4 linked regions of the Drosophila melanogaster genome follow. The protein of the gene in region 1 purifies or fractionates together with the protein of each later gene. This does not show direct contact. Each region holds a gene or a part of one and is shown in the gene's direction. Other genes may lie near its edges.

What was found.
Region 2: the proteins of Kdm5 (region 1) and CG13367 purify together in Drosophila melanogaster (affinity purification with mass spectrometry, with the first as the bait; one study listed by BioGRID). This does not show direct contact.
Region 3: the proteins of Kdm5 (region 1) and Sin3A purify together in Drosophila melanogaster (affinity purification with western blotting; 3 studies listed by BioGRID, with this or other methods). This does not show direct contact.
Region 4: the proteins of Kdm5 (region 1) and CG3815 purify together in Drosophila melanogaster (affinity purification with mass spectrometry; 2 studies listed by BioGRID, with this or other methods). This does not show direct contact.

Annotation. Positions count from the first base shown.
Region 1 is NT_033779.5:5,995,720-6,001,592, reverse strand, and holds the start of Kdm5 (lysine demethylase 5), read left to right. Parts: upstream 1-2,091; 5' UTR 2,092-2,295; intron 2,296-3,828; exon of another isoform or gene 3,829-3,910; intron 3,911-4,807; exon of another isoform or gene 4,808-4,879; intron 4,880-5,061; 5' UTR 5,062-5,102; coding exon 5,103-5,873. Other genes in the region: Tsp26A (tetraspanin 26A), read right to left, coding at 1-116, 324-434, 510-788, 849-929, 994-1,281. UniProt on the Drosophila melanogaster protein: Histone demethylase that specifically demethylates 'Lys-4' of histone H3, thereby playing a central role in histone code. Does not demethylate histone H3 'Lys-9', H3 'Lys-27', H3 'Lys-36', H3 'Lys-79' or H4 'Lys-20'.
Region 2 is NC_004354.4:642,428-647,429, forward strand, and holds CG13367 (uncharacterized protein), read left to right. Parts: upstream 1-2,333; 5' UTR 2,334-2,468; coding exon 2,469-3,486; intron 3,487-3,562; coding exon 3,563-3,771; 3' UTR 3,772-3,959; downstream 3,960-5,002. Other genes in the region: su(sable) (suppressor of sable), read left to right, coding at 1-914.
Region 3 is NT_033778.4:12,585,642-12,591,898, reverse strand, and holds the start of Sin3A (Sin3A), read left to right. Parts: upstream 1-2,746; 5' UTR 2,747-3,183; intron 3,184-5,826; 5' UTR 5,827-6,187; coding exon 6,188-6,257.
Region 4 is NC_004354.4:6,293,103-6,300,094, forward strand, and holds CG3815 (uncharacterized protein), read left to right. Parts: upstream 1-2,286; 5' UTR 2,287-2,403; coding exon 2,404-2,451; intron 2,452-2,607; coding exon 2,608-2,798; intron 2,799-2,861; coding exon 2,862-3,546; intron 3,547-3,606; coding exon 3,607-5,129; intron 5,130-5,200; coding exon 5,201-5,390; 3' UTR 5,391-5,868; downstream 5,869-6,992. Other genes in the region: mldr (mulder), read left to right, coding at 1-5; CG15892 (uncharacterized protein), read right to left, coding at 78-642, 708-1,036; CG15891 (uncharacterized protein), read right to left, coding at 1,502-1,951; CG12219 (uncharacterized protein), read right to left, coding at 6,195-6,422, 6,506-6,695, 6,761-6,992.

The DNA of each region.
Region 1 (5,873 bases):
TGAAAAAACATCACAACTATAACAGTTGCGGAAATAATAATCAAGTTGTGCTCCATCCATTCTTCGCCTGCTTGAACACAGCCCTTTTCGTAGATTATTTTGGACAACTCCATGCCCTGGTAAGAAATTAAAAAAATAAAATAAATATAAAGTCTGTGGGAAATTATAAAACAAAAAGATGTAACTACTACGAGTAAAAACCATATTTTTAAAAAAAATGGGACCACCTTAAAAACGATTCTCTCATCTGAACTACACTAAACTTAAAATTTTCAAAGATTCAAAAAGAAATATACAACGACGACTATAGAAATGTTTTGCACCTGCAGGACGAGCAGAGCCACGCAGCCAATCGCCACACTAATCAGATGGGCCTCCAGCCAATCCTCGCCAGCGCGCAAGCAGCCACGCTCATGTATATTCCTATCCACCGGCTGCATGCGTACGATTCGTGGGTGAATTTCAATATGCATTTCGGAAAGACGGGGGAAAACAGCTAGCGGACTTACATATCCCTCCTTGCGTACATCGTAGCCGCATTGCTTGTTCTTGATCACCTCCTGCGGACGTCTGCGGCAGCAGGAGAATGGCACTCCGCACGCCTCCCTGCTGCCAATAGCGATAGACGAGCAATTGAAGTAGTTGTTGCTGTCCCAGTCCTTGGGACCATCAATGCCGCAACACTGCAACCAATCCTCCTGGATCCAATCAATGAGATTCTGCTGGTCTGCGTCCTCGCGATAGTGGCGAATGAAGGCCTTGAGTCCCTCGGTGGCCTGGTCTTTGATCTGGAAAAGGCAAACCTTAGTAATGGCTGGCTAGAATAGTGGCCTTCAAATGGAACTCACCCAGCCCTTGTCCTTGAGCACGAAGGCCACGGCACAGAAGCCGATCTCTGCGATAAGCAAGACACTCAAGAAGATGGCGTACTGCAAGCGGAAAAATAAGGATTAACTAGGTCCAGAGGGGATCCACTAACAATGTGGTACCCACCGCCCCCAGGAGGCAGGTGTTCTCGCGCAAGGCGCCCACGCTGCCCATGAAGCCCAGTAGGAAGGTGACGCCTCCCAGGATGATCAGGACGAAGGCCGGGTCCAGGGCGATGAAGTGCAGCCGCGCAATGTTGCGGAACATGCCCTTCTCGCTCCAGGCCCAGATGCCAACGGAGAGGACCAGCAGGGCCGAGAGCCACAGGATCACATTGCTGGCGAACAAAAGGTACTTCAGACAGCAGCTGATTTCACTGGTCTCGCGGCGGAACTTGCGCACAGCAGCTGGCATTGCTCCAATTTTAACAATAATAAATATGGCCAAAAGGAAACAAAAACGTATGAAATTCTGCTCGCCAGTGTGACCGTGACTGCACTTTTTTTATCACGCAGTGCGACGGCTCCAAATACGTTGCAAAGAATACCGTTTCCCAAGAAAACCGCCATTTTGTTCAATCTTACGAACTTTAAAACTTGGATGTTTGTTTTTTTTTTATTGATCTTGCATAAACAATGTATTTTACAGAAACCAGTTTGCGTATTTATTTCATTTTCTGCTGATTTGTTGAGTTGAGCAACAACAATTTCATAGGCATTACCGTTAACTAAATACTTATGTCTACTGGTTATTTTAAATATATTATACAAATTCAAATTCTTAAAGCCAAGGCTTAAATTAACACACAGTATTCTAAAAACAATAAAAGAGCTCACTTACTTATATTAATAACTTAGAATATAATTCACTCTTGTAGAATGCCAAACTTTCTTTTTTTAGCTTACCACTGTATTGAAACACATTTCATAAAATTAATTAAAAAAGCGTACTTAGGAAACCTTGCGTATATGCTCGATGGATCCTATGGATGTTTCAAGTCCTGTCCCTGAACCGGCATAGTGTTAAACGCGGCGCCGGCTAGACTGAGTAACGCCTATGACCGAACTGATTTTGAATCTAATACAGAAACGAAACAATAAACGGGGGGTCGGCGATAAGACGAGATCCGATTCGTCGACCTCCGCCGATAAGAAACTGTGTTTGATTTGAAGGCCAGTGCTGCACAACGCGGACGGTGGCTGGTATTTTCCCGAACTTTTGTGGGGCAGATCGACGTTTCCGGCACTTCGACGACGGGTCACACTGGACACATGTAGCAGGAAAAAACGCAGACATCGGAGAAAGAAATCAGAAAAGTAAATTCGCATTAAAGCCACCTCGCCAGTGCCGTGCTCGGTGGTTTTATGGAACACTCATTTCGATCACATACCGAGCGTGCGCGTCTTCCAACGACTTCCTATGACGACAGTGAGTTTTTGCCCAGTGTAGGGTGCCCAGTTCCCAGTGCCCGAACCCAGTGCGATTGTGTGCGTGCCAGTGTGTGAGTTTAGGGGCACTTCTGATGGCTGAAAACGTTTAATTAGCAGCGAAAAGCGAACAAACTAGCAAAACGCAGACGCCCACCTGGCCAAGTCGGTGCATATAGATCAGGAAAAGTGCGGATTGCAGCCTCTGCGTTGGCCAACAGCGAAAACAACCCCCCGCACTAGTCGTGGAAAATGTTTGTATGTGTGTTCCCTCTGCTGGCAGCGCAATCGGGATTCCGAAAATCCGTAATAATTGTGAAAATGCGGCCAGAAGACAACGCCAGGTCGCGGCTAGGTTAGGAACCACGTCGCGGATGAACGGATTACGGTGGAAAACCGCGGACGGAAAATCGCGCACCAATTGCACACGCCAGCAGAGCAGCGACAGCGCTGCAAAGTGCGTTGCGTCGCTGCCCGGTCGCCATCATAGCGAAAAATATTGTGATCCCACGCCTGGAAAGCCAATATATGCCACTGAGTTTAGTGACTTTCAAGTATATAGTGAATATATAGCTCCAGTCGAGCTGTTCGCGGGGAGTTACTATTCGAAAAGTACAGTGCTGCAGTCACCTTCCAAAAAAAAAAATCAGTTCAGCTTTTCTGTTTCCGCTCACCGCCACTCCCCCCACCGTTGGAAATGTGCAATATGGCAGGGCAAATGCGTAAATTTTGCGCTCCTGCTGGAAAGTAACCAATATCCAGTGCTAATTTCGCCAAATCCATCCATATTTATGTACATGCTCGGTGCGAATGTGTGTGCCTGTATTCGCGTACCTGTGTCTGTCGTGCCCCGTGTCCGTGTAAGCTGTTTGTTTGTGCCCGTGTAAGCTGCGTGCGGGTGTGTGTGCGCGGCTGAAAATGGAAATTATATAAAAGAAGCTTTCGGCTTAGGCTGCTTTTCCGAGCGATCGGCGGCCGCAGAACGGAAAATCAGTTTCCCCCGTCCAACACTAACAGCGAACAGCTGGCTGCAGTTTGGAAAATGGCACTTGTCACGACGCCGTGCTGCCCAATCAATAATCCGAAATCGCAATCCACCGATTTTGATTTGGAACGGATTCGCAGGGAAATAATATCCCATTATCCCGAGCAGAGCAGCAAACGTAGCATGCCTCTGCCGGCGTCGCTGTCGACGATGTACTTTGCTCACTTGATACACAAAAACGGTACTCGTCGTCGCTCATCTCGCTCTCTCTAGGCGAGAGCGGGCTCTTCCTGATCAAGCACACGGGAAACTATACACACACACACATACGCACGCACCGCCAGTCAGTCAGGCAGGCACACATTGCCCACCCACTTCTACTCCCTTTTCGGTGGTGGCAGCAGTGGCAGTGGCGCCCCACATTCGTGCGAGAGTGTGTGTGCGTCACAACAACCACCAAAGCAAAGCTCTGTCGCGGCGGCTTCCTTGTGTCTAGCTGACAAACGCGAAAAATCTGTTGGGAACTCCAGCCGGAAGTTGGAGTTGACAGTGGTTTTCAACATGGCTTCGTTTCCGCTTCTCGATTTCGTCAGCTGAATTCGTAGATAACAGCTTTCACCTTTTGCTCAGTGTATGTGCTTGTGTTAGTGTGTGTGTGTGTGTGCATGAAGGTCCTGTGTGCTGAATGTTTTGAATACAATGCGTATAAGTATAATCCCCTTTTGCACACTTGGTGTATACATGTTCGCTATCGAATTTGTAAGTTTATTGGTCGCTATGTTATACATACACACGGCCAGGAAATCCCCCGTGTTCGTGTCCGGGGTTGTGCCTGTATTGGCGTGCTCCACTTTTGTATGCAACAAATTCAGTGCTGCTGGCTAATCGCCGCTGCACTCTCTCTCTCTCTCTCTATTACTCCTCGGGAGAAGCCACATCCCCCTGGAGGGAAACATGCGAGAAAGGCATTACTTCGCCTAGGTCCAGTGCAGTTGCCCATCCTGCGATCCCGCCGGCGGCACTGGATACAACCTCACAACCGAAGTAATCGTTTGGTAACTGCACTTGCACCGTCGCAAAGTCGAGTTTTCACCTCTGTAAATGTTGTTTGTTTACCTGCGAGGGTTGAGTGCAGGCACCACAACACATATACACACACACACAGGTGTGCGGCGATTTGATGTAGATACAGTGGGCCGCAGGGGTTCCCTCTCCGATCAATAGGAGCGGTAGGAAAGTCCAACTAAGACGACAGTTCTCTTGTGGATATTAACCAATTTAAATCTGTCGACGGGGCAACGAATCGTTAATTAATGCAAGGGGCGCGGGGCGGGAGTGTGTGTATCTGAAAAGCCACCATAATAGCTCTACCAACAACAAGTAACCCCTAGTTGTTGAAATATTTATATATATACATATATAAACTGCAGTAACTACAATTATTATTGAGTTATTGCAAACAAACCTTAGATAAACTTTCATTGGCTTAAAAGTCAAATTTAAATAACGTTGTAATTAGGGAGAATTTAATTGGTATATTATGCCGTTTAAAGTAGAATAAACAAACTGCCAATAAGCCGTTTCTTACTAGCAACTTTAGGTAATGAGTACTGTAGTTGAAGCTGAAATACAAAGTAGCTAAACTGCCAAGAAGTGTGTCTGCCACAATAATTAAATAACCGGGACAGGTCTTTCAACCCTAATAACGAAAACAACCTTTCCGGAGCGAATTTAATATTACCAAGTTGTGAACTCATCCGTAACTTTTATTCTCTATTTCAGAACCGAGCGGAATAAATTTAATCTGAACTCATCTTAAAGCTATGTCCGCCAAAACTGAGGCGGACAACACGACGGCCGCCAACTCCGGCGGCGGAGGAGTCGGGAGCGGCACCTCATCCGGCGGGGGCGCATCCGCGAATGGAACAGCAACTCCGGCACGTCGTCTGCGTACCCGAAACTCAACGGGCAACGGGACTAATAGTGGAAGTGAGTCCGTAAAGAAATCCAATGCTAACGACGAGCCCTCGACCCCAGTCACCCCGGCAGGAGCAACAGGATCTCACACCCATGCTCCGCCAGGCATTTCTCCGGCGGTAATGGAACGGCCTATGCCCAGTGTTCCCATGAATCACGCCAGCAGCAGTGTGTCAGCCAGCAAAAAGTACCATAATAGTTGTCCTCATCCCACGCCCACGCCTGCGCCCACTGGGCACAAGAAGTCGGTCCACACGCAGCCGCACAGCAGCAACAAGTTTGACCAGGGAAAGAACGAGGAGTTCCACTTTGACACGCCGCCAGAGTGCCCTGTGTTCCGGCCCACAACTGAGGAGTTCAAGAATCCACTGGCCTACATCAGCAAGATCCGCTCCATAGCTGAGAAGTGTGGAATCGCAAAGATCCTGCCGCCGGCAACCTGGTCGCCGCCGTTTGCAGTGGACGTGGACAAGCTACGCTTTGTGCCACGTGTCCAGCGGCTGAATGAGCTCGAGGCAAAGACGCGCGTCAAACTCAACTTCCTTGATCAGATCGCAAAGTTCTGGGAGCTGCAAGGCTCTTCACTAAAGATCCCAATGGTGGAGCGAAAGGCTCTC
Region 2 (5,002 bases), on another chromosome or scaffold:
CTGTGCGGACAGATCCACGTCGCGATCCCAGGAGAGCCGTTCTGCAGGCTCCAACTAAAGGTGCTAGTACGGCAAACACCACAGCACCCAATGCCTCTGGTGGCAGCAAGCAAATCTCGGAAATCCGAAGCCTGCTGCAGGTTTCCAACTGGTACAACAATCTCGGCACCAACAATAAGATTATGGTGAACCAACAGCTCGCCCTGGTCTTTACCGAGCTCAAGAAGTTCCATCAGCTGCCGAATGATGCTCCGAAAATTTTCGATGTCAGCTTTATAGTGAACAACACAACGTTGCAGCAGATCTTTGCCAAGCTCTTTATCTTTGTAGATGACAATGGCGAGGTGGTGCAGATTCCCGAGGAGCCCAACGGTAATGGTGCTGCTCTTGGTGGCGGCGGAGATTCTGGAGGCGGAGTAGGAGGAGGAGGAGGAGGAGGAGGAGTAGTGCTTCCCAATCTATCGCAACCCCCACCAAATCTGAGCCAAATGTTAAGGCTACCGCCACCGAACATACGAATGCTTCGCATGTCGGGAATGATGATGCAAATGGGCAACGTGGGACCCCCTTTCAATCAGCCACCGCCACGCGGAGGATTGATGGGAATGCCTCCGAATGGCAATGGATTAAACCAGGGCGTTGGCAATCTGGGAGGACTTGGCCAGTTGGGGATAAACCAAGGAGGAGGACCTGTGCCCAATGGCAATCCCTTCAACCCATTTGGTGGGAACAATGGGGGAGGAGCTGGCGTCATGAACAACATGAATTCAATGGGCAACATGGGCATGGGCTTCAATAACTTCAACAATAATGGCGGCAGAGGAGGGCACTTTCCGGGCGGAGGATCAGGCGGAAACGGCAACGGAAACAATCGCAACCAGCGAGGCGGCAACCACCGAAACCGCAACATTTAAAGGCCCATGCGTTGCGAAAACACAAACGCAAAAGGAGCCCTTTTGCCCCAATGATCTTAAAGCGATGCTATGCCACATGACCCTTTCCCCCAACCATACCATACGTCGTGGAAAACTCGTGGTTTTCCGCGCACCTTCCCCGAAAATCCAGGCATGACTCCTTGTAAATGTATTTTATTCCCGAATCCCCATTATTGTCACTATTTTTTTCGCTAGGTGTAAGGATCTTATTAGCTATACGAGTAGTAAAGAGTAAATAACAAAACAATCCGGAGTAAGAACGAAAAGTGAAGCAGAATGGTATGCGCAGCCCTTTTTAACAAACTTTTTTAAATTATATAGGATAATTTGTTCAATAGCGCGAGTACTACATTGATTAACTAGACGTACGAACTCAAAATAAATGACATCTTTTAAGTAATGTGCCATGCTTAGGTTGCTGGGCCGTCCCGGAGGAGCAGAAAGAAATGAATAGCTCTTGAAAGCGTGCGAAACTACACCTAAACTCTTTAGAAAGCTTTTGCGTACTTATCGATGCTAAATTCTGAATTGGCTTCTCGACCATTTTTAATTTAGTTCCTACAAGGTATATGTTTACGTTTACGCTTAAATTATGACATCTTCTGCGAATTCGAACTAAAAATAGCAGTATAGCGCAATTCTACCTTATATACACACTTGCCATCGAATCTAATGTACTAATAATATAAACGGTCGAAGAAATACCGGTGGAGATTCCATATTCAATTTCTCGCCAGTGGCGTTTTGTTAGATTTCCCTATCAATTTCGTTGGTAAAAGAACGTTGACCGTTGAACGTTTTTGAATTCCTAAAAAAACCAGGGCTGCATTAGTCAGAGCACAGTTGGCTACCTGGCAGCCCCCGCCGATCCGGTCTGGCAACACTGGTTTAACAAAAACATACTACACAAATTACGTTGTTTTGCATAGCAGAACAAGCACATTGAAGCATTTATTGTTTTAAAAATCACTACGACCTGAATAAGGGCATGGATTAGCCATGTCAACCGACGCCGACCTAAACAAGTGCGTCAGTCCCATGTACCAGGTGTCAACCGCAGGCGACGGCCTCCAAGCAGAAGCCGCTGGAGATCTGGCGTTGGCCTCCATTGTCGCAGCTCCCTCCTATTCCTGCGAGCCACAGAAGGACTCCACCGACATGGACGTGGACATGGAGATAGACAACGATCTTACCACTAGCGAACGGATGCCAACGGTGGCCGAACGTTCAACGGTCAACGTTCTTTTACCAACGAAATTGATAGGGAAATCTAACAAAACGCCACTGGCGAGAAATTGAATATGGAATCTCCACCGGTATTTCTTCTTTCTATTTTGAATTCCTAAAAAAACCAGGGCTGCATTAGTCAGAGCACAGTTGGCTACCTGGCAGCCCCCGCCGATCCGGTCTGGCAACACTGGTTTAACAAAAACATACTACACAAATTACGTTGTTTTGCATAGCAGAACAAGCACATTGAAGCATTTATTGTTTTAAAAATCACTACGACCTGAATAAGGGCATGGATTAGCCATGTCAACCGACGCCGACCTAAACAAGTGCGTCAGTCCCATGTACCAGGTGTCAACCGCAGGCGACGGCCTCCAAGCAGAAGCCGCTGGAGATCTGGCGTTGGCCTCCATTGTCGCAGCTCCCTCCTATTCCTGCGAGCCACAGAAGGACTCCACCGACATGGACGTGGACATGGAGATAGACAACGATCTTACCACTAGCGAACGGATGCCAACGGTGGCCGAGCTGGAGCAGCCGATGGATTCCAAAACGAAACGGGAGAAAAAAGAGGAGGAGGAGCAGAAGGACGCGCAGGACCAGAAGCCACTGGAGGACGGCTCCGTGCAACCGCCCAGCAATCCGACAGCCATCAAAATCGAGGAGGAGGACAAGCCAGTGAAGCCGCCGCCGCAGCCGCAGGCTCAGGAGGAAGTCGCGCCCAGTTCGCCGGAGACAGCAGCGAATCCCAGCCAGAGAACTGCGGGCAAGATCACCCGTAGCAGTCTAAATGGCACAGCCAACCAGGCGCCCACCCGCTCCCCAACGATAATAAAGCGTCTGCGAAAGAGCACGCGCTTCAAGGCCAAGCAAACGGGCAAGGGCACTCCCGGAAGCGGCAGTAGCCAGTCAAATGGCCACAATAGCGGGGCGAATGGTTCCACCGGCAGCTCCGTGCACCTCGCGGGCGCTGGCGCCCATCCCAGTAATACCAACAAGCATGGGAAGTCCGGTCCAGCGGGCACAGGCGGGGCCACTGGAGCCCGTAATCGCCGCGCTCTCTTCAAGAAACCAGCACAGAAAACTCCCAAGGTGCAGGCGAGCACCAGGTTCGTGAGAAGCCTTTTCCACAAGGGCAGCTATATACAAATCGGGGATATCGTCAGCATTGTGGACAGCGAGCAGAATCTGTACTACGCCCAGATACGCGGTCTGCTTGTGGACGCCTATTGCGAGAAGTCCGCCTTCCTCACCTGGCTGATTCCCACGCAGGACAGTCCGGATCCCCAGGAGGGCTTCGATCCCCCTACCTACCTAATCGGTATGTCAGTCCTGTCCTCCTGCCTGCTACCCAAAGTTTTTTAAATTGTATTTTTGCTTAACTCCCGTGCCTGCAGGACCCGATGAGGAGCTGTCCCGGAAGCTCTGCTACCTAGAGTTCGTGATGCATGCTCCCAGCAACTACTACTTCGACCGGAGCACCCCGTTTCCCCTGCCGGACGTGGATGAGTACACTGCCCAGAGATCGGGCGGCTACATCTGGACGCGGCTGCCGATAGTCAAGCGGGAAAAGGGCAGTGGCCACAAAGCGGGCGGTGCCTCCTAGCAGAAGAGGTGGCTCAAGGGCAGGATGGCCGGAGCCCTGAATTTGAAAAATCTAATTTATTGCAACTTTTACTCTTCGTAAACGGGCTACTTGCCGAACAGAAAATAATTCAAAAAGTACTTGATGTACTGTAGTACCAACTGAACTCAATCAGCAATTAATGAATAAAATACAATTTTGTAATTATGGATAACGAAGCGTTTCCGACCTATAAAGTATACATGTATAAACATATGTTCTTGATCAGGATCAATAGCCGAGTCGAACTGGCCATGTCCGTCTGACCGTATGAACGCCTCAATCTCAGGAACTATAAAACAGACAGTCGCAGCGCAAGTTTGTTGACCCATGTGGCCCAGTTTAGTGTCGTCCAACGCTACGCGCGCACTTTTGAAAAATGTTTTGATATTTTTAAAATTTTGTTATAAGTCCTGTTTGAATTGCAAAAAACTAATTCCCACGCCCACAAACCGCCCAAAACTGCCACGCATATACTTTTGAAAAATGTTTTGATTTTTCTTCGATTTTACTTTTTTGCAATTTGATCGGTATACCATAAACAAAACATTAAAAATTTTGATTAAGATACCAAAAGGTTATCGACACGAATCGGAATCGTTATTGAATTAGACGAGAAAATAGTGGTGGAGAAACATCGATGTTTCCGATTTGGCGAAAAATATCAAAGTCTTAAACATATTCTTTAAACATGTTGTTCTAAACATCGATGTTTTAAATAAAAACAAAAAAATTATCTGTTTAATTTAAATATTATTTTCTTTTTTAATATTGACTAAATAAAAAAGGCAGTATTTTAACTAAACATAAACTTATTGTCGTCTACGTCTTCATCCCTCCTTATTCAGGAGTTAAAAACTTAAATTTCAGATATTTATCCACGTCTTTCAGGACATCAGCCAACACCACCAGCAAGTCACACTAAATTTGCGATATGTTATTAATAATTCTATTAAAAAATATGGAACTTACAATTTATACTTACAATATATACACATATCTTCTCCGATGTGCAGTAAATACCATCGATACCATCGACGCCATCGATGTTGGCATCGATGTTTCGCCACCTTTACGAGAAAAAGCGGCGGTCACACTGCTTGAGCCTCACTGCGAGTGGTTTTCTATTAAAACGAAAAGGATAGGGACAGAAAAGCCAAAACTACGTTAGTTGTGAAAATTGCATTTGTGTTGCGAGAGTTTTGTCAGGATA
Region 3 (6,257 bases), on another chromosome or scaffold:
AATAAAAATAAGAAAGCAAGGTATTGAGAACAGCAACAACAATGACGCAGTCACGCACACCACGAAGGCAATAAAGCAGCTATGTGTGTGGCTGTCTGAAAGAGGCAGAGCGCGTTTGCCGCGCTCACCTTTTGTTATTGTTGCGTTCAATCGCTCTAGAACTGCCAACTTGTTAGGATGTTGAAATTTTATGCCAGAATAACTTTGTACGCAAAACCATTCTTTTTTCATAGTTATTTCTTGTTTTGTATAAAAAAATGGAAAATTTATTTAATGTGAAAAAGGTTAATAAAAATTATGCAGTCAAAAATAATACAAAAAATACCGCATCAATAAATATTGAAATAATTTTTTTAAACTCAAATTTCGCTTTTAAAATCAGTTGGCAGCTCAATGTACCCTTTTGGTGCTCGCGTATGTGTGATTGTGCACAAGGTGAGCGAGACAGCAGTTTCAGCCTTCAATTTGCGGGTTTACGTTGATTCTAATTAAATAATTCGTTGAAATCGGGCTCACTGCTTCTGTGAGGTCCAATTGTAATGCACACACACAAACACGTTCTCAGTGCTTTCCTCAAATTTTCTTTGTGAAGCGCCTCAAGTTTCGACTGGCTTTTAAGTCTGGTTTGGTTTTGGCTGTTTGAAAACTTGAAAAACAAGTTACTTCTGAACTCAAACTCCCCAGTTTTGGCAGTCTCTCCACACTTCTCTCGATCTTTCTCCCGAGAAAAAAAAAACACTTGCCGCGTCGCCAACCAATTGTTTGCAATTCGCAATTGTATTTTAGCCAGAGGCCAACGAACAAGTCTCTTGAACTTGATGGTCGGAACGAAGTTGAAGTGTATTAGACGTTGAACACTTTTACACATATTTAGTTGTAACTTTTTCAAGCCTTCATCATTATATTATTAAAACTTGAGTGTTAAACTGTATGTTTAAATATACTATGTTATCATTTCAATAAGTATTGAATTAGTAAACAACACTGAAGCCGTTGTGTTCAATCGTGTAAGCCTATTCCCAAATTTATAATCGTTATTTTAATTTAAAAACCTTTTAATTGCTCTTAATTTTGATCCAACACGCATTTTGGCTCACCGGTAAATTTGTGTATAATCTTTTACATAAAGAAGAGGGTTCTCTAATCCTTAAATGGATTTATAGTTTTGATGAGAATTAATACTAAAGTTAAATATTTTATAGTAAAGTTTTCCATTTACTGTGTTGTCAATTTTTTAGGACAAACAAACAATAAATAACAAAAAGTTTTTATCACATTAAATATCATGTGACTCAAGAGAGTTAAAAACATCTGATAATTTGCAGAACACGTACGAATATCAAACTAATTAGTTTTTTTTATAGAAATGGGTCCGTGTGACAGGAACCTCTTTACCACATTTCAGATATCACTTGATCAGCGTCAGTTAATATTTCCTAGTGCCGCATTCCATGACAGATCTGAAATTAGCACAGGAATAATTAGAACATGCTAGACCACCTGGCTTTATTATCAATAGAAAAAAGCATCAATAATACCCAATGGGAGGGCAAACAAACCTTCCTGCGGCGCCTGGAAGTCGGAGAGTTTGGTTTGTGCCATTTTTTTGTTTGGTCCAGGGACTTTGGTGCACCTCGGACATGCGCTGCACCCAGTAGCTAGTTAGTTGCATGTGAACTTTGAACTTTCGAGCTGGAAAGTGGAAGGCGGATTTGCATTTCCTATCGCTGCAGGTGTCTCACAAAGAGAGAGGCTCTCTCGTATCCTCCGCCCCCGCTGCATTTTTTTCATTGCGCAATGAGCGAGACGAATCGATAACTGCAAGGTTTCCATGTTTTAGCAGCTCAACTTTTGCGCGTATACAGATTTTTTGTCTGTATTATTTTATTTTGTGAAGGAGCTGGCCGCCGAATTCAGTTCGATTCGAGATGGGAACATGTGTTTTTATGGTTCCGCCATTGTCATGGTGAGATGCACTTGCTTTTTTTTGTCTTCATATTTTTACTTCCTCTCTCCGCACGCACGCGTCTGTGTGTGAGTGCGCTGGCGAGTGAGGTGGTGGAGGAGTACATGAGTGTGTAAAGTGTAGCCGTGGCAGAGTTGTAGCTCGCTAGTGGTCCGTTTGGTTTCTGATTTTCGGTTTCGTCGATTTCACATATGTACTGCAATGGTCGGCTAAAACGCTCTGCCGACGTCGCTATCTGCTGTATACTCGTTGCGCTTGTGTGGGTGCGCTGCTCTCACACCCGCTCTCTCTCTTTGGCTCAAACAGGGTGTCTTACCCAGATGTTCTGATCATCGTTTCCACCACATGGCTGGGTGACAATGGTACACCCTGTTTTCTAAACAACTTGTTTTCTCTCTTCCCAGCGTTGTTGTTGGTCCTCGCACTTACGTAAGCCTCACGTATTTCGTTTCTTATCCAAATTCTAAGCGCCATTTTGCGACTATTTGCATGCGGTACCGCTCACCGCTAATAAAAATAACCACTGATTGTGATTATTTGCTAATAGGTAATGAATGGTATATAAACTATTTTTGCCGTCAGCTACTGATGTGTTTTCAACGCGCTCGACGGAGGATTTTAGTTGTTGCGCCGTTGAGTTGCCACCCTGTTTTAGCTGCGGCAGCAGAATAAAATGAATTCCAAAGCAACACTGCGCGCGCGCTCTCACGCTCTCCGTTTTACACTCATTTCGCTCTCTCTGCTGACTCCAAATGACTGGCCGTCGCGTTTCGCTGTTTTAATCGAAAATGTTTGCGGCGGCGTTGAGATGTACGAAAACGTTCTCTCGCCAAAAATTTGTGAATAGAATAGCAGTAGCAATCTATCGAGAAGAAAATGTCTTAAATTCGAGCCGTGTGATCTAGTTAAGGTCTTAGAGCCAAGTGCAAATTGATTGAAATAAGCGTTAAACTTAAACTGAACTGGAGAACGAAGCCCCAGCTACTGAAAGAAAAGAAAACGGTGAAAATAAAGATTTCGGTGTGCCAGTGAGTGCGAATATAGTAGTTGCATGTGCAAAATACTGCGTAAAACGTGAAAGTTTCCAATAACACCACAAAACCAACGGCAGTTTTGTAGTAAATATACATACGCGCCCCGTACATATATACATACATTTCGAATATACATACACACAGCCGAATATCAACCGACGAAGCTAACTGCTTATTGCTGATGTAAGTGTAATATGGGCGGTGGGCGGTTGTGGGGGGCGTGAAAATTGCAGAGTAGCATTATCCTTCAAGTGCACTTGGAGTGCGGATTCGAGTTCAAACAATATTTTCGTTCGTGCCACTGAAAACTTGTGAAAATACAACATTTTTAGGTTAGGTCAATTTCAATTGGTTTATATACACACGCACGCACAAACTCACACACACACAAACAACAATGGCATAGCGAATACATATAGAAGGCGCACAGACAAAAAGTCGTCGACGGGGACGTGGTTGTTGTTTGTGTTGCTGCTGCTGCTGCCTCTACAGTTTCTGCTCTCCTCACACACAGTTGAACACAGTTGTGGAGAGGAGAGCCACACTCATACATACGCTTTGAACCATTGCTTTTGGTTCGCTTATGAACTGACTGTATTTTTTCAACGTAGTGTCGTTTTATTTTCGTTGTTGATTCGTTCTTTGCTCAGTTCGTGCGCTTATCTTGACTTTTGCTTTGATGCGCCATTCGCATGTACTGGCGAGAGCAGCCTAGTGTGAGTGTGCATTTAAATGGCTCCCCAATGAGAGCATCATTTTGTGGCCCTCTTTTTGTTCAGATCTTCCTTTTGCTCCTCTTCTTCATGCTCCCCAGCCCATCCGTCGTTTGTTGTTCTTGCTCCGCCTGTTTTTTTTCATTCGGTTTTGAATTTACACAAAACGTTTGCCGTTGCTTCTTCATGCTGAAATAGTATATATGTATGTGAATATATTGTACATATTTCTCTACACATCCATATGTTTTATTTGCAAAATTTATTAATAGCGCAGCGCCACTCCGCGGCTGTGTTAGTGCGCCAGAGTGAGAAAGTAACAGTAAAAAACTAAATATTAATTCGCGTTGATTCCGATTCGTATTGCAGTTGTTCAAAACCGAGTGCTAGTGATATTTGCAAAAAATTTAACATATTTTCCGCTGGCTGCCTTTTGTGTTGCGTATTCTGCTGTGCTGTGTATACACATAACAAAACAGATAAGATAACATTATACGTGTGCACGTAATAGAGCGGGCTGAATCAAAAAAAAAAAAAAAGAAAAAATGGAGGGAAAATTTGCCCACATGTCTCCCCAAAGCACACACACGCACACAACGCCCCAATTTGGAGCCTCTCTCGTCAAACACTCACACACACCAGCAAGCGAGTAAATGTGTTTGGTATGCACTAATGGCGGATCCAAAAATACAATAACAACAAAGACAGTTGGGAGAGCTCAAAAGAGCGAACTTGTTTTACCTTCATTTATTAAAGGATAGTTGGTGGTGGCAGAGACAGGAGAGAGAACGAGGGCTAAAGCTTTTGTGCGGCTGTACTGTGCTCCAATATTTGTTTACAAATGCTAAAAGGGGGCAGCTGTTGGTTCGATGGGGTGTTTCAATTAGTTGGAGCAGGATGATCCTCTAGGCGGTTTCCATTCACCTAATATTTGCTCGCGGTCTTTGGTTTGCGCAGCGTTGCGCTCTCTTCATTTTTGCCGCTCTCTCTCTCGAATGCCCGCCAAATGCTTGCTGTGTCCGTGTGTGAGTTTGGCCCCAAACGGGTGAAATACCTTTTTGAAAAAAAAAAAATCATCCATATACTGCGCCTCAACAACAAATGCGGCTCTCTCTGGTTCTCTCTGTGGCTGCACCACCACCACCGTATCGCCACCACCACCTTTGCATTGTTGCGTTTGCTGCTGCTGTTACCTCTGACTCTTCTTCTTCTTATTCTTGTAAGTTGTAGATACAGAACATGTACCAGCAGCTCTCACACACCACCCGCCCGCCCCCTTGGCGGTATCGATATATAAATATTTTCTATGTGTGCGTCTGAATTCTATGCAAGCCGATGTCGTGCATGGGGCATTTGGCACCTTCCACATTCACAAATACTGATATGTACACACATACACACACACTCGGAGGTGTACACAGAAAGCTCGCTTAGGAAGTTTTTACTGTACCGCTGAAAGCAATAACAAAGCGCGCGCCCAATTCCGGTTGAACGTACACACACTAAAGTGAATTACGCGCTCCTCCTTATGCCTTGCACTCACTCTCCTCCAAGACTCAACTTCCACTCCACGATCTCCTTCCCGTCTATATGTATCAATCTCTGGTTGCTGTTGTTGTTATTGGTCACAGCTCCACTGCTTCATTCCATTCCTATTGTCCCTCATCTCACTCTTCTCCCCCGAATCCAGAACACCCAATACAGAGACACCGTTCTCCACTCTGTAGTTTTTGTGATACGGCTAAAAGAAGAATTCCCCCGTGGCTTTTTAGTTCACCTTTTTTCTTGTTGAAATATGCAATCGTTCCGATATCTGTGAAGATATAGACCGAATTGATCAATCAGCTGTGCTATACTAGCTAACATGTTTTGGGAAAATTAGCAAGACTCGTGGTCTTTAATATATGGAAAAGTATATTTGGCATATTTGTCCTTTCATTTCAGTGTCAGTGAATAAATTCTAGTATTAATGTGTAAGATTGTTCCAGTAATGCAGAATTTAATGATGACTAACTTCATTAAAAATAGACCCAAACCTAATTCTTGGGGGTTTTTATACATTTAATGTCGACATTATTGTATGACCGTTTCCCTTCTCTTGCTTTGCTTGCAGTGATATTCAGAAAGAACTCCAAACGCTACGTGGCAGAGGCGAATCACCGGCGCAGCAACACCAGCAGCAGATAACCAGCCGTCAGTCCAATTTCTCTACCTTAGAACTCGAGCGCATTTGCCGCTTGCGGGGCGACCAAATGCATAGACAACATATGTCGCATTCACGAGCAGTCCAAGATCAAGAGTTGCGACCCCGACCGTTTGTTGCATATTACATACGCTCATAGAGGGCGGCCACTCACCTAGAGCAGCCAGAGTCCTTGCACTTGGGCAGGGATCCAGGGAGCAACAAAGTGCTTAGAAAGAAGAAGCAGCAGCACAGGATTATACGCTCCGCCGAGGACAGAGCAACAAAAAAGATGATGAAACGCACTCGCGTAGACGAGGTGCAATTTGGCACACGACCCGTTCCTCAGACCTCCGGAGGTG
Region 4 (6,992 bases), on another chromosome or scaffold:
GGTGACCATGTGAGCAAGACTTCTTATGCGAATAAATAGTAGCCAAATGTTAACACGAATACACTGAAGGAGCCGTCCTAGTCGCAGTCATAGCGGGTGCACTTCTCAAAGGCTCCAAGACCCTGCGGCTGGGGCTTCTTGCGACGGCGCTCGTACAGCAGCTTCTTCTCGGCGGCGCACATGAGCCGACGCTTGATGTGATTGTCCATCTCGAAGTCCAAGTCGGCCGGCTTGGCCAGCTCGTTGGGATCCCTTGTGGCTGCCGAGTCCAGCGCCTTAATGATCAAACTGAGCAGCGCGTGCGCGAGGCGATGGCACACATCGTACTCGATGGCATCCTGGCTGGTGTAGTAGATGGCCGACTGTGAGGTGGGCTGCACACCAATGGCCAACAGGATGTTGCAGAAGATGCCGCGCTGCATGCGCGCATACGGATCCACCAGCTGCGGCGGAATGCGCATCGTTGTGGCCAGATGGGAAATGAATTTGGCGAACTTCTTGATGAGCACGTTCAGGTACTGGGTGCGGCACTGGCGCTCCAGCTTGGTCAGCATGTTGTAGTACAGTTCCTGCTTGCGCTTCAGGAAATCCTCCTTCTTTCGCTCCTTGGTCTTGTTGCTCTTAAGGATCTGCTCCAGCTGTCTGTTTTTGGGAATGAGATGAGATGATTAGATCGCGTTAGCAACTGATGCAAGCGCTGCACTTACTCCGTGGTAATGGCTTTGTATTTGCCCAGCATGCGCTTGATCCGCTTGGCCCGCAGCTTCGGATCGTATACATCCTTGAACTGCTCGTAGTTGTCGATGAGCGTGTGCAACTTGGGCTTGGACAGGGCCACGTCGTAGGGCTTTACCTTGGGCGGCAGTGTCGGCTGGTAGGCCATGCGCCGCACATACAACTCCAGCTTGTCCAGTTCCTCCTCCCGCCGCTTCTTTACGTTCTCCTCTGCGCACACATCCGGATCCTCCTCCTCGGGCAGCGACTCCGTCGACGTGGGCATCGGCTCATCCCAATCCGAGACATTGGAGCTGGCCATGGCTGAAGAGTACTACACGGAACTGAACTAAACGAAACGAAACGGAACGGCTCGTCTCGGCTTGGTAAATTTGTACGTATTGGAAATTTAGCTTTGAACTTGGTTACTTATAAACACAAAATAATGTTTCGAAATCTTTTTTGTGTACGAAAAATTTGGGTAAACGGGAGCACTAACAATTTTATGTATTCACGCTGCGATAGTGGATCACCTTATGAGCAGTCCCAGTTGAAATGTGAGCGAGGTAAAACCAAAGGACTACTTGATAGTCAGAAAAGTTCTACATGTTTTCAAAGAAATGGAACATTAATTGTATGGCAACAAGATTAAGGAATTCCAATGACTCACACCACTAACAAGCAAAAGAGCACTGCATATGTGGTTTACAATTAAATAAGCAACGTTTTATTATATGTAATGTAATGTAATGTATGAATATTAACCAGTGGATCTATGGATCTAAAGCTAGTAACACTCGTTCTGCACGGATCGCTCCAGGGCGAAGGTGTACTCCTCGGCCAGCTCGTCCACGGACAATTGGCGCGTTAGTAGCGCCAATATGCTGTCCACCTGCATTTGGGTGCTGGTGTAGCGATCCTTGTTGGCCAATCCGGGTGCCAGCTCGAATGGAATGTCCTGCAAGTAATTGACGGGTCCTTGGGCTCCGGGCTGCTTCACTTGATCGCTGCGCGGTCCTGGCATCGGCGGATAGGGCAGATAGCCCGCTGGCGGCATAGGTGGATACATGGAGCCGGCTGGAACACCCGGATGAGGAGCATCCGGTACTGGTTTGCGCTCTATGAACACGAAATCATCGACACTGGTGCCTGGACGGGTTGCCTCCGCCGGTCCCTGGATGGGCTGGTCATCCGTGGGCGTTTCCGCGGGCTTGCGTTTGCCAAATATCGAAAACATTGCACTATTTTGTTCTATTGTTTGGTAAAATCAACTGGCAAATTGCGTCGTCCGCCAGCTGTGATGCTCTTTTAGCGGGCGTTGGTCCAAAACAGCGAGTGCTAGCTAGTGGTGTGCCCAAAAGATGTAAACATATAGGTGTCTATAGTGAGGTCTGAGCGAAATATGAGAATTTTGGGTATTTAATTTTTAACTATTTGTTTGCTTGGGTATTTTTCGGTTACGAATGTGTATACCCAATATAAACTTTATTAATTGCAAGTAGTTAGATTTGGAGTGAAATGCAGTCTGCACTGAATTTCCGTTAATCGCCTATCGGTGGGCGCGCAGTGTGGCCATTCGCTCGTCGGATGCGCAGGGCTGGACAACCGACACTGCGCCCGCCTCCGTCGCCAAGTGAAGTCGCTCCGAGATTGATTGTGTACACCGGATAAGAGGAGCGAGCGAAAAAGATGTCAAAATTGGACCAGGACCCGAACGCCTCACTGAGCATCATGGAGGTGAGTGTGCCGCCGGGACGCCATTCAGAGCTTCAGTGTGTCCACTGCCCGGAGCTCCAATTCCAATCGGCGGTGGCTACTCTAGAGCTGCCACATTAACGCATTCACAACTGTCTCCATTTCCCACATTTAACATAACTTTACTACTTCGCGCAGCAAATCAAGCAGCTCATCCGCCCGCCGCCCAACGAGGACGAGAAGATGATGCAGCGGTCCACCAACACGAAGCATCCGTACTACAGGCGCCCGGGCAGGGGCCACAACCACGACTATTGTGACGCCTGCGAGGAGGGCGGCAATCTGCTGTGCTGCGATCGATGCCCCTCCAGCTTCCACCTGCAATGCCAGTGAGTATATACACGCGCATATAGCTGCTCATTTTGAGTGCTGATTTCGTGCTTTCGCCACAGTGATCCACCGTTGAGCGAGGAGGACATACCCAGTGGCCAGTGGCTGTGCCACAGCTGTCGCATGAGCAAGCTCTCCCAGCCGCCGGCCTCCTCATCCAAGGCCAGTTCCGTGGAGCGTGTGCCTTCGGCGGGCAGTGGCTCACGGGCGAATACTCCATCGTCTGGCGATCTGGAGTCCATACCGCTGAAGATCCGCAACCTGCGCAAACGCAGCAACAGCGAACGCAATAGCACCGAGAAGCTGCTGGCCAAAATGCCGATGTCCATACAGCGCGCCCTCGATCCGAACAAGAAGCCAACGCCGCTGGACGATGTCATCAGGGCGGCCACCATGATGAATCCGCAGCAATTCTCGCTGCCGCCGGAGCTCGAGCTGCACACCCAGTTCCCGGGCAATGGCAAGGTGCAACCCGTACAGCAGACGCATCCGCCGAGCGGAAATGGCGGTAATCGCAGATGCGCCGGCAATCAGCGACGCAACTCCAAGCCGTTTGAGCTGGATGCCCAGGGACTGGTGCCGCTGCCCGCCAAAACCTGTTTCTACTGCACGCGCTCCTGCAAACGGGCGCCGCTCATCTCCTGCGACTACTGTCCGCTCTACTTTCACCAGGATTGCCTGGATCCGCCACTGACGGCACTGCCAGCTGGATTGTGGATGTGCCCCAATCATGCCGAGAATTTTATCGTAAGTCAGCCAACGCACATGGAGGTCTGCTTGGGTTCTAATGAGGATGTCTGTTCACAGGATGCCAATATGACCAATAGCATTTCGGCCACGGAGCGGGTGCGTCTCTGGAATCGCTTCCACCAGCCACTTGACCATGAAAATGTCAAGCTTGAGTTCTTCCGGCGTGTCAACACGCGCAATCCGCCCTTTCGCACCAAGAGAAATCTGCGTGCTCGCGCCCACATCGAGGTGCCAGCCATTGTGCGCTACCACTACGATCATCCGCCGCCGCTGTTGCCCTCCATGCGCCAAACGTTGCGCTACGATCGGGTAAAGCGGCGCAATAACCTGCCCACCGAAGTCGAGGAGATATCCCGTGAGTCGGTCACCGAATCGCTGCTCAAGGATCTGGAGGCCTTGCGCACGGCTCACGCCAAATTCCGTGAGATTCAGAGGGAATTCGGAACCTTGGAGACGGCCATAGATGGCGATAGCGACAGCGATCCCAGTCCTGAAGAGAAAAGGACCGAGACGAACACTCCCGCCGATAAAGTGAATGGCGAAGTGGATACGGAGAATCCCAATACAGAATCGAATGCGCAGGCCAGCGAACAGCCGTCGGTTGTCAAGGTGGAGTCCAAGACCAGCCTAGAGGTGGAGGCTAGCTTCGAGGAGGACGAGGAGGACAGCAAGAAATCAACGGGTATTATCGATGCAGACCTCTTACACCTGGACGTCGATATAATCAAGAAGCTGGCGCACCAGCGTCTGCAGCAGCTGGTCGAAGAGCATCCGGAGATTGTGACACAGTACAAGAATCGCACGGCCGCTCGTCGCCTGCGTCAACTGGCGTCAGTCGATGGCACACATGTGGCTGGCGAAACTGCTGCCCTGCAAGGCCAACTGGCGCCGGAGGATATGAACCGTTTCTCGCTGCTCTTCACCAGCGAAACGTCCTCAATTCTGGCGCAAAAGAATGGCAATGCCGCCGACGAAGATCCCGCAACGGCCCTGCATCCGGCACTGGCCACAGCGGCGGCCATTGCAGCAGCAGATGCCGCTGCCGAAAGCTATGCGCCGCGTGCCCGTAGCGACACGGAGAAGGCATACGAGCTGGCATCGCGCCTGGAGCTCAAGCTGCTGCAGTGCAAAGTGCAGGCGCGTGCGGTGATAACGCCACTGGGCGACATGCTCGAGGATAGCCGCTGGTTCAGTTCGCTGGGGCTGGACCATTCGATTTTCATGCGCTACCGCACGCTGTACATTGGCTACGGTGGACACTATTCGCCATCGACGACGCTGGCGCAAACGGAGACCGTGGACCTGTCGGCCATTGGTTACTGTTGTCGCATTTCACCGCAGCACGCCATCATCTTCTACGACGAATTCTCCAAGTCGTACGAGCTGATCAATTACTCAGAGTTTGGCACCGAGGTGAATGGACAGCTGTATGCCTGCGACGTGACCGAAAGGATGACAACGCACGCCGGCAAGCCGATGCGACCTGACGATGCGGAGCTGAAGAAGCGCGTCGATGAGATGCTGGACAAGCGTCGGAACATTAATCGCCAGTTCGAGACGAAGAAAATCGACAAAGAACGGTAGCTATAGTTTATTTGCCCAACTTACCCAATGATGATGATAACCACTTGTTGATTTAATCTCCCCGCAGATTGGCGCCCATTGTTAAGCCCGCCTGCCGCTGCATGAACGCCGGACCAGTGCCCATGGTGGATGGCGCCTGGGAGGGATCGGCGGTGCTGGCTCACGGCAGCCTGCTGCGATTCGGTTGCCTGTCGTTTGTGTTTGTCGTGCCGTCGGTGGATCTGCTGCAGGCGCAGGCGCGCAGCAAGCGTTCGTAGAACCAGTACCCAGACTCCATCAGCAGAAGCAGCAGCCTTTAGTTTAAGCATTAAGACACAGAAACATATACGCGCTCAACCGCAGCCAACTCCAGTGGAGCAGCACCAATCTCAGTGGGGCAGCTAGCAGCCAGGCATAGGGTTAGGGTTAGCAGATACCAGTTCAACTTCATCGCATCAATCATCGCAATGCAAAGCCTCGGCAGTACTTTTAAATCACACAATCCTCCAATCCCATCCAGCATTAAGGGTATATATTTGCCTTATGACCAGTGCAATAAATACGGAGTACAAACCACGGATGTGCACGGCTGCAGGCTGATCCATGCCAGTGGGCAGTGGATCTCTGGTATCAAACGCCGTATTTATTGAATTAACCATTACGTTCATAAATCGCATAAACCCGCATCGCATACTTTACTTTTATTGTAAAAACAGATGTATAAATTGCTAAAACGAAATAAACTTGTAAGATCAGAGATTTTTTCACATGCAAATGGATCGATGGAGCCACCAATTAGCAGTAAGCCCCGCCCAATAAGTGCACATGACTTTTAGTTTCTTTTGAAATGAATGTGTTTACTTTATAACCAGATCAAATCCAACTGGTTAAGGCATTATAGAGAACGAGAAGAGTATACACAATAGGTGCCAGGCGGCGGGACGCCTTGACTTTGTGGAGTACACGAAACGTCGGATAAGTACATTCGGTATGGCTAATATGCAAAAAATATATATGTATATATTTGTAATTGTAAAGATCTAAGACTACGCATGCACCGCGTCCAGGTGCCGGCTGCCATCCTAGAGTGCGGCCGCAGGACCCGGCTGAGCCTGTGCCTGTGACGGGTTGGTGTGCTGCATCTGCTCCTGGACGCCAGCCTTGGCCGCCGAGCGCGTGGCTCGCGATCTCTCCCATTCCGCTTTGTGCTTGCGCTTAGTGTGATGGTACATATTCGACTTGGAGCGGAATTCCGTGGGACAGAAGGCGCAGGTGTGCAGCTTGACGCCCGTGTGCGTGGCAAAGTGCTCCTGCCGCAGAAGAATTCATTATCATTAGTGGTATCCATGCAGCTGCGGATAACTGAAACAATGCAAGGCAGTGCAGTACTCACCTCCAAATATCGCTTCATCTTGAAGCTTTTGCCGCACACATCGCATGCGTACTTGGGCTTGCTCAGGCAGCGATGATTCTGGCCAGGAAGCTCACCGCAATTGGGACAAATGATCGAAACGGGTGCCGCATGGATGACAGCCTGCAGCGGAGCCGCCGGTCGTTTATCCGTCTCTGAAGGCGGGTGGTTGCTGTAAGAGATTCGTTAGTAAGCTTGCTGCTTGCTGCTTGCTGCTGGAGTATCCAATCGACTTACCCATAGGGATGCGCCATCATTGTCCCAGTTGTCGTTGTCGTCGTTGTTGTGGCACTGCTCGTTCCTACGGCCGCCGCTGCAGCCGCCGTTGCCGACATGACAGCAAAGAGTTGTTCCTGATGTTGCTGTTGCAAAAGGCTCGCACACAGACGCTGCTGCAGGCTATCCGGTTGTCCTGGCGGATTGCCCGTTAGCGAAGCGGCTGCCACGACAGCAGCGGCTACCGCATTAT